2 linked regions of the Rattus norvegicus genome follow. The protein of the gene in region 2 interacts with the protein of the main gene of each other region in a pairwise test. Links are inferred from orthologs where the notes say so. Each region holds a gene or a part of one and is shown on either strand. Other genes may lie near its edges. The genes, in order: Ehd1 and Rbsn.

The links.
Region 1: the proteins of Rbsn (region 2) and Ehd1 interact in binary tests that used the Homo sapiens proteins (3 or more experiments, as listed by UniProt). The link is inferred for Rattus norvegicus from reciprocal best matches to the Homo sapiens genes RBSN and EHD1.

Annotation. Positions count from the first base shown.
Region 1 is NC_086019.1:213,007,861-213,012,163, reverse strand, and holds the start of Ehd1 (EH domain-containing protein 1), read right to left. Parts: upstream 3,052-4,303; 5' UTR 2,979-3,051; coding exon 2,575-2,978; intron 1-2,574. UniProt on the Homo sapiens protein: ATP- and membrane-binding protein that controls membrane reorganization/tubulation upon ATP hydrolysis. In vitro causes vesiculation of endocytic membranes. Acts in early endocytic membrane fusion and membrane trafficking of recycling endosomes.
Region 2 is NC_086022.1:126,252,453-126,256,260, forward strand, and holds part of Rbsn (rabenosyn-5), read right to left. Parts: intron 3,407-3,808; coding exon 3,361-3,406; intron 3,262-3,360; coding exon 3,100-3,261; intron 650-3,099; coding exon 408-649; intron 1-407. UniProt on the Homo sapiens protein: Rab4/Rab5 effector protein acting in early endocytic membrane fusion and membrane trafficking of recycling endosomes. Required for endosome fusion either homotypically or with clathrin coated vesicles.

The sequences.
Region 1 (4,303 bases), on a different chromosome or scaffold from region 2:
CATTTTTTCAAAGTCAATACCAGCCTAGGAAGAGGAAACCACAATAGAGGGCTGTTGGAGAGTCCTTGGTAAGGGCTTAGCTGCATACCTGAGTTCCATGTTGAGCTAAGAGTTTAGCAGAACAGCTCAGAGCAGCTATCAGCTGTTGCAAAGGGTGGGGTTCTTTAGTGGACAGAGAAAGGACTCTTTTAAAAACCTCCCTGAGCAAAGAAAATACAGACCTATGGTCTGCAAGACATAGGCTCAAAGCTGGGATTCTAACAGTGGGGAGCAAGATGAATGTCTCCTGTGGCTCCACACCCCCAAATTATGATGATAAGTCTCCCCCCAGGCTGGAGACAGCATGACAAAGTAAAAGGCTATGTCCAAGTATAGCAGACTCCAGTGTTGTAAATCATTGCATGCTGGATCTCAATTCCCCTTGCCTAGGAAGAAATTCTCTACTCAATGGAGAGAGAGCGACAGAAAAACAGAGTGGAAGTGGAGCTGGTTCTGAGAAGTAACAGACATAACCGGTCCCATAAAGGAGCATCTGAAAGTCCATGAGAACCCACTACTCTGCAAGGTCCAGTAAGTGGACAGCAAGAAAGGCAGGAGGTTATAACAACTCCCTGGCAACAAGGATGGGGACCTCAGTCCTCAGGACCAGTGGGTGGGTCCAGTTATGCAGGCAGGGCACTCACAAACCCCTCTTGGGATTGCCTGCCTCCGTCTGTTCCTCTCACTATCTCTGAGCAGCCTTGGGGGCAGTGGGGGGGGGGGGCTAATAAATCAAGTTCATGACTCAATGGATCCCTTTAAGAGTGCCAGGAAAAGCTGTATCAGTCAGAGAAAAGCCCCCTTTGTTGTGCCTCCCTGGCCAGAGGCATATCCTGAGACAGTTCCAACCCTGGTCTTCACCAGCATTTAGAGACCCTCTGGAACTGGGATGGGGGCAAGAAGGAACCGGGTACAGAGCGTGGCCTCCACCTTGACAGTTCAGCAGGGCCTGCCTTTTGTGAGTTACTGCACTGGGGGCTATTGGGGTGGTGTGTGAGAGCTCTAGCTCCTTAAGCTCTGCATTTCCACAGGTGAAAACTGAGGAGATGCCAAGTTCCTTGCTTCCAAAGAGGTCTGCCCTCATGATGAGGCTATAACAGGAGTTGGAACAGCAAATCTTCCTGTCACTCCTGAAGCAGAGACCTAAAGCATGAATGAATTCCTTAGCCCAGCAGCCAAACTTCTCACAAGACCATCAGCACTCTGAGTCAAGGGCCTACCTACAGGGGCAGCAAAACTCAAACACCCTTAGGCAAAGGCTCCAGGCTAAGGGGACTAGAGCATTGTATTCAACCCAGGCCTGTCACGCAAGCAGCAGCATCTTAAAACAAGACAGGCTGAAATTACCTAGAAGGGACAAGAAGACATTAAAGATCAACTCCACCAAAGGAGGCAGGCCTGAGAGCAGGCTCGCTCTAGAACAAGCTGGCCCGCCCTGTACGGCTGGACAGTGTCTGCAGAGGAATGTGCTCATACAGGGCGGAGACCTGGAAAGCAGGATTCAGATTCTTTCCAAGGTTATTCCCCTAGGCTGAATGCAGATGTCGAAAGGCATGTGGAAGTCCCTCCTTGAAAGAGGGAGCAGAGAGGGCAGGGTCTGTGAGTCCTGTCATACCTAGGAGAGGAGGAGTCTGGGATGACCCAATGCCCTTAAAGAAGTGATCCTGGGCGTTAAAGCTCCACGGAAAGGCCACTGTGATTCATTCATAGCATCCTGAGAGGCTGACTCTAATTCACCTCACCCCTTTAACCGGTAAAGCTGAGACTCCAGGAGTACATCAAAGTCTATCAAATCTATAGTTGCATATGGGTCTGGTCATTTCAGGGGTCACAGTGTTACCAGCCCCTGAAGTCTCTTGAGGCAATACTGACTTAAGTTTTTTGTTTTGTTTTGTTTTGTTTTGTTTTGTTTTGTTTTGTGACAGGGTTGTCTCATACACTCCTGGCTGGCTTGGAATCCACTTAAGTGCTGCTTTTAGGAGGTGTGTTGAGACTCCTTCATCCCCTCCCTTCAAAGAGGGCTGCCCCCAAATCAGCAGACCAAAGCATATCCTCACTGCCCCTCCTACACAAAACCACTGGTCCCAGGAGATGTGAAGCAGCGAGTGACCAGCAAAAGGAACATCTAAGTCTCGGGATTTCCCATGACACTTAAAAAACAGACCCGGGTGGAAGAGGGAGGTTGATGAGAATGAGTTGGGTGCCTCCAAAATGAGGAACGAGGCAGAGAGGAGAGCAATGGCTTATCTTATCACAGTGGCCCCCAGCTCTGTGGGAAGTAGGTCTGGGATCTGCGGGAGGGTTTGAGAGTTAAATTGAAAACCTGGAAGGTTCTGGGAATGACACAAGCCAGAGGAGTGGACAATGCCTATTCCCTAACTACTCTCAGGTAGTTAGTGGGACGCAGCAAGGCCAGTGACCCTGGGAGTGATCGCTGAGGGTCCTGCGGGGCCCCTCAGAGACAAAGGCCGGCTGGGGGCAATGGCTCTGGAGGCCTTTGGTGGTCCTCGCGCTGGGGGGAGAAGGGGTGGGTACCTGTTGAGGAAGGCGTTGCCGAAGGCGTTAAGCTTGCGGAAGGGGCGCCGCGGGTCCACGACGAGCGCGTTGCCGGGCACCACGCCCTCGGTGGGGCCATGCATGACTGCGATGAAGGAGTCGGTGGTGGGCTCCGGCCCGATGCGCATCCCTGGGAAGTCCTGCTCGATCAAGTGGCGGATGAAGGTGGTCTTGCCGGTGCTGTACTGGCCGACCAGGAGCACCATGGGTTTGTTGTCGAAGTCAGCGTCCTCCAGAGCCGGCGAATGGAACTCGTGGAAGCGATAGTGCTCCTCCAGCGGCAGCAGCTTCTGCGCGTACAGCTGCCGCAGCCCCTCGGCCACCGTCTGGAAGAGCTCCGGCTCCTTCTTGCGGCGGGCATCCTTGCTCACCCAGCTGAACATGCTGCCGGAGACAGAGCTGGCTGCTACAGGACCGAGCGGCGGCTGAGCGGGACTGGAGCGCGCGGCCGAGGAGGGGCCGGCCGGCCGGCGGAGGGCAGAGGGGCAGGGGGCGGGGCGCGGCCCGCACCGCGCAGGCGCAAGGACCGGCGTACAGACCACAAGAGCGCCCTCTACTGAGGGTCGCGCGAGCCTGGCCGAGCGGCCCCTTTATAAGCCGGAGCCCGGAGTTCTGGCACGCAGGCCGCCGCCTCGGGGCAGGCGGGAGAGGCGAGGGAAGAGCCCTCCAGGCTCCGCCCCATTCGCGTGCCACGTCTTCTCCTGCTTCCCATTGGCTGATTTTAAATATCGCGAGTTCGTGGCTGTGGTGCCTTGGCAACCGCACCTGTTTTGCTCCGCCCCTCGAGGGATACCTCGTAGAAGGGTTGCAGTTGCAGGTGCCAGAGACTAGCGTCCAGATGTGCTAAGCCTGAGCACCTTGGAGCACCCGTGGGCTTCTGGATACCCCAAGTACTTCAACTGCTTCCCCCAACTGCAGGGTTTCCACCGGCTAGGAACTCCCAGAAGCATCGACAGCCTGTGCGCTGCCCCTTCCCTGCTTCTTGAACCCACACTCCTCACTCTAGTGTTTTAGCGACTCTGGAGAAGAACAGGACAGCGGGAATAGGGAAAGCCGAGGGAGTACAGGACACCGGGAAGAGGAATATTGATAAGGGAGGAGAAGTGCGCTGGATCTCCACTCAGGCTGATGGGAGAGGGACAAAGCAATGGACAACACAATTGACGTGATCTAGCGGGGAGGTCTCACCCAAGAGGTGTCAGCTGCGGAATGGGGTAAAGAAGTTGCAGCTTTCTGGTTAGATGAGTTTGGAGGAAGTGAAATCGGAAATTCCCTTTGTAAGGAAGAGGGGAAGTGTTGAGCAACAATGAAATGTTGTGGGAACTTTGGGGAAATTAAAAGCCCCAAAATTTCCGCTTTCCTTTCAGGGACACCACCAGTACCACCTCTTGTTCAGTTCTGATTCCCAACCTCCTTCCAGTTAGTAGCTGTTCCACGGGGCTTACGGACCCGCCATCATCCCTGGCCACACCTAAGTCCCCTTGGCTGGTCTGCTGGTGACAATTTTTGTGGGTGATGTCAGAGATTTGGGGACTATGATTGTTAGGTAACTAGTATCAGGTCACCCAAGTGGGAGGAGGATCTAAGGGTGCTTGGAGAAGTCTAAAAGGCACCTGAGGAGTTGGTTAACACACAGTTATGGTCGCAGATGTTTGGAAAAGTTGGAAGACTACCTGAACCCATCAATATGAGGCCAGCCTGGGCAACA
Region 2 (3,808 bases):
ACTCAGAGGAGATGCTCGGCTGATAGGCAAAAAGCATACAAGCCCTGAAAATACATATAAGCTCAAGCTGATAAAGACTGGAACTCCCAAGTGAGTTTCCCAGGACCCTGGCAGCCCATGATTTGCTACACCTTCAGCTTCTGTCTTCTCCACAGAACCTGGCCATGCACAGGACAACTGCTCTTCCTACTTGTCTTGGGCCTCCTTCAAGTGGGTAAGGGAAGGTAGGGAAATAAGTTTGTTACTACACACCCAGGATGACTCTATGATTCACCTAGGGCCCTAATTGGGAAATCATACCATGGCCCTTGGGCAGGAAATGAGTCAAGGAACACCGTCCCAGAGGATTCTCTAGAATCTACAGGCAGGCATACAGCAAATAGCCAAATCTGTCTGGCATGTGTCACCTCGTAGAGCTTCACGATGTCAGGCGTGTGCTCCTTCTCATCCATCTGCTGCTCTCTCTTGAGCAGCGTGTCCTTGCAGTGCGTGCAGCAGCGGATGCGCTCATCATCCTTCTCGTCCAGGACTGAGCTGACACTGCTCATGCTACTGATGCTGCCTCGGCGGGAGCCATGGACACTGTTAGGTGACTGGCTGGGGCTGGTGTGGGTGCTCAGGGAGTCCTTGCTGGCACTGGTGAGCTTATCTACAAACCACAACAGACAGGTAGCAGTGACCCCTCAGCAGCCACTTATCCCACACCTGCGACTGTAGCACTCAGGCCACAAATGTGACTTGGGAAATAGGGAGAGCAGGCTTCACCTCTGGACAAAAAGAACCTACTCTGGCATCAGGGGTGAGACTCTGGTGGAAAAGAATGCATTGCCAAGCGATCACATCCAAACAGCTTGTGGTAACCTGTCTTTGGGCTCAGAAGCCTGATCTTAACCTGGTCATCTCAGACTTATACCACATTCCATTTGCCCCATTTCTCCAAATGATTCACATTGTCCAGACACTTTCCTTTGCAGCCCTCTTACCAGTCCCTAACACTCAGCTCTCACTCTCCATTCTCTAGGATCCCTTCCCTGGCTCCCACAAGCCAAGATCTGCCCTTTACATCGCCTCCCATTAACCATTTGGGGCAATTCCTTTTTCTCCTGTCCAACACCTGTATGTACAGAGCTGCCCTGGAATCTGCAACTGTTGGGTAGGAACTGTGTCTTACACTCATGGCCTTAACATAGCCATCAATGCCACCTAACAGACTGCCCGGGTAATAAGCCCAAGAGCAGAAAGTGAACGGTGTTCTGAAAGGAAGTAGGTAGGTCTCAGGGAGAAAGGAAACTATCAAGGTAAAGGAGGCAGACACAGGAACTAGGCAGAGAAAAAGTGAGTTTTGGCCCATGTTGTCTACAGGCCTTACAGCCAAGTGTGTACAAATAATAGAACTCTTTGGTGTTCTAATCTGTACTAAGAATGGAACCCAGACTCCTGACCATGCTAGGCAGGTGCTCTTTTACTGGGCTGCACCATAGCCTTCCATCAGCTGTGTGCAAGCAGCTGATTCACAAAGTACTGCAGTGTCTCACCCCCTGCACTTTACAGCCTTGTTCTTCCAGGTCTCACCCACGTCCTGCACACTTCCCATTGCAAGTCTCTCTCCTTACCTACTCAGTTCCGCTACACTGAGTGCCAGGATTCCTTGATGCTCTTTACCCTACATAGGGTACCACCCTTCCCCACCTCCTGTACAACCATTCTCTTTCAGACATCACTTGCACCCTACACATCCATGCTTGCTTTCACTGGAGCCTCCGTGGTATTTAGCACTTTCTATATGACACTAGTCTTTCTGAATGACTCTGCGATTTATAAGGACAGGGACAGGCACTCTGCTTATTTTCCAAAACTTCTTCTAAAAACCTCCCCTGCACTTCTAGGCAAAGGTGTCAAAGAGCTGCACTACCTCTCCTTTATGAAGCAATTGTGTGAGTCTCTATCTCCCCTGCTAGATCCTGAGTTCCTTGAGGAAACGCAATGCCTTGTAGATTAGTAAAGTTCAAATAACACTTGTAAGCCAATCTAGCTTCCACCTGTTTTTGCATAGCTCTTAAACTAAGTATTCACTTTATGCTTAACTTTCCTTTTGAGTCAGGATCATCTCACTCTGTAGCCCAGGCTCAAACTTAATGATAGTTTTTCAGCCTCAGCTTCACACGTACTGAGATTACAGGCAGGAGCCACTAACCCTGGCTTGTTTTATATTTGCTTGTTTGGTTTTACTTTGAGACCAACCAAGCTTCACTATGTAGCCCCGGTTACTGTTAGCCATGCTGGGACTTTCTGATTCTGCCTCCCAAGTGTGCACCCATCCAGATGGTTTTTTTAAAGAAGTTACTCCTTTTCTTTTTCTTTTTCTTTTTTTTTTAATTTTTAAATTAAGAAGAATGGGAAGAGACCGTGTGTGCCTTACAAAGTCTAAAATAGTTACTACCTGATCCTTCATTTAAAAAAAATCTCAGGGCCAAATGGTGGTGGTGTACACCTTTAATCCCAGCACTTGGGAAGCAGAGACAGGTGAATCTCTGAGCTTGAGGCCAGTCTAGTCTACAGATCGAGTCCAGGTCAAGGCGACACAGAGAAATCTTGTCTCAAAAAACAAAAACAAAAACAAAAACAAACAAACAAAAATCTCAGTGCTGGGGCTGGGGATTTAGCTCAGTGGTAGAGCGCTTACCTAGGAAGCGCAAGGCCCTGGGTTCGGTCCCCAGCTCCGAAAAAAGAACCAAAAAAAAAAAAAAAAAAAAATCTCAGTGCTAGATACATAGATCATCAATTAAGAGTGCTCTTGCAGAGGACCCAGGTTCAGTTCCCAGAACCCACAGAGTAGCTGACAACCATCTGTAGCTCCAGTTCCAGGAGACCCAACAGCCTTTTCTGAAAAAAAGAAAAGTGCTCCCCAGCCTGTTTCAGGCTACTATATATAGCCGTGGGCTTCGGCACAGTGTTTAGGTCTTAGTGAGCCTAATGAACTCACTAAGTAGATGAGAGAGATTCTGTGGTCCACTCACTTTACAAGTGGTCCCAAGGGTCTAAGCACACCCACTAGTCCCAGAAGAGATCAGGGCCCAAAGCCACAGCCACATCACCTACTTGCCAAGGGCAGGCCAATGAGCTCCATACACTTCTTGCACATGATAGACCCACAGAGGCGGCAGTGGTGACGGCGGTTCCGGATGCTGAACTTATTCCCACAGTCTGGACAGAATGGAACATCCTGGTCATTGACCCAAGGCACCACAGACTTTTCTATTGCTTTGGAAGAACAAACCAAAAAAAGCAGCTCAGCATTCTGAAGTTGTTTTCAGGGAGAAAGCCAAAAAGAAATGATCGTGAGCAGAGGTCTAAACTTACCTCTAATCTTTGAGGTCTCAGTATTTGTTCTGTCAAATGCGGTAAGCTAAACAAGAAAACACAACGCCAAATGGAGTTAATAAGTTAAAGGACACTCTCTACATTTTTTTGCCACTCACATTCAGCAGGAAATGTATGCTCAAACTTCTTAAGGCTCACTAGCCAGCCCCAATCCTGTTATCCAAATCATTTCACTTGGGACATGTTAGTTTCCTATCCAGAAGGAATCTCGGTACCTACAGCTCACTTCCAACCTCTTGTCAGTTACCAGTTTCTCCAATAAACATGGTCATGGTGGGGTATGGGAGCTACTGAAAGCAATGGGTGAACTCCTGACTTTCCAGTCTTCCTGGAAAATTAGACTGGCCACATATTTCTGTCCACAAAGTCTACATAAAGAGCATTCCTGGTCTGGGACTTAGTTGGTGGCAGAGTGCTTGCTGGGGCA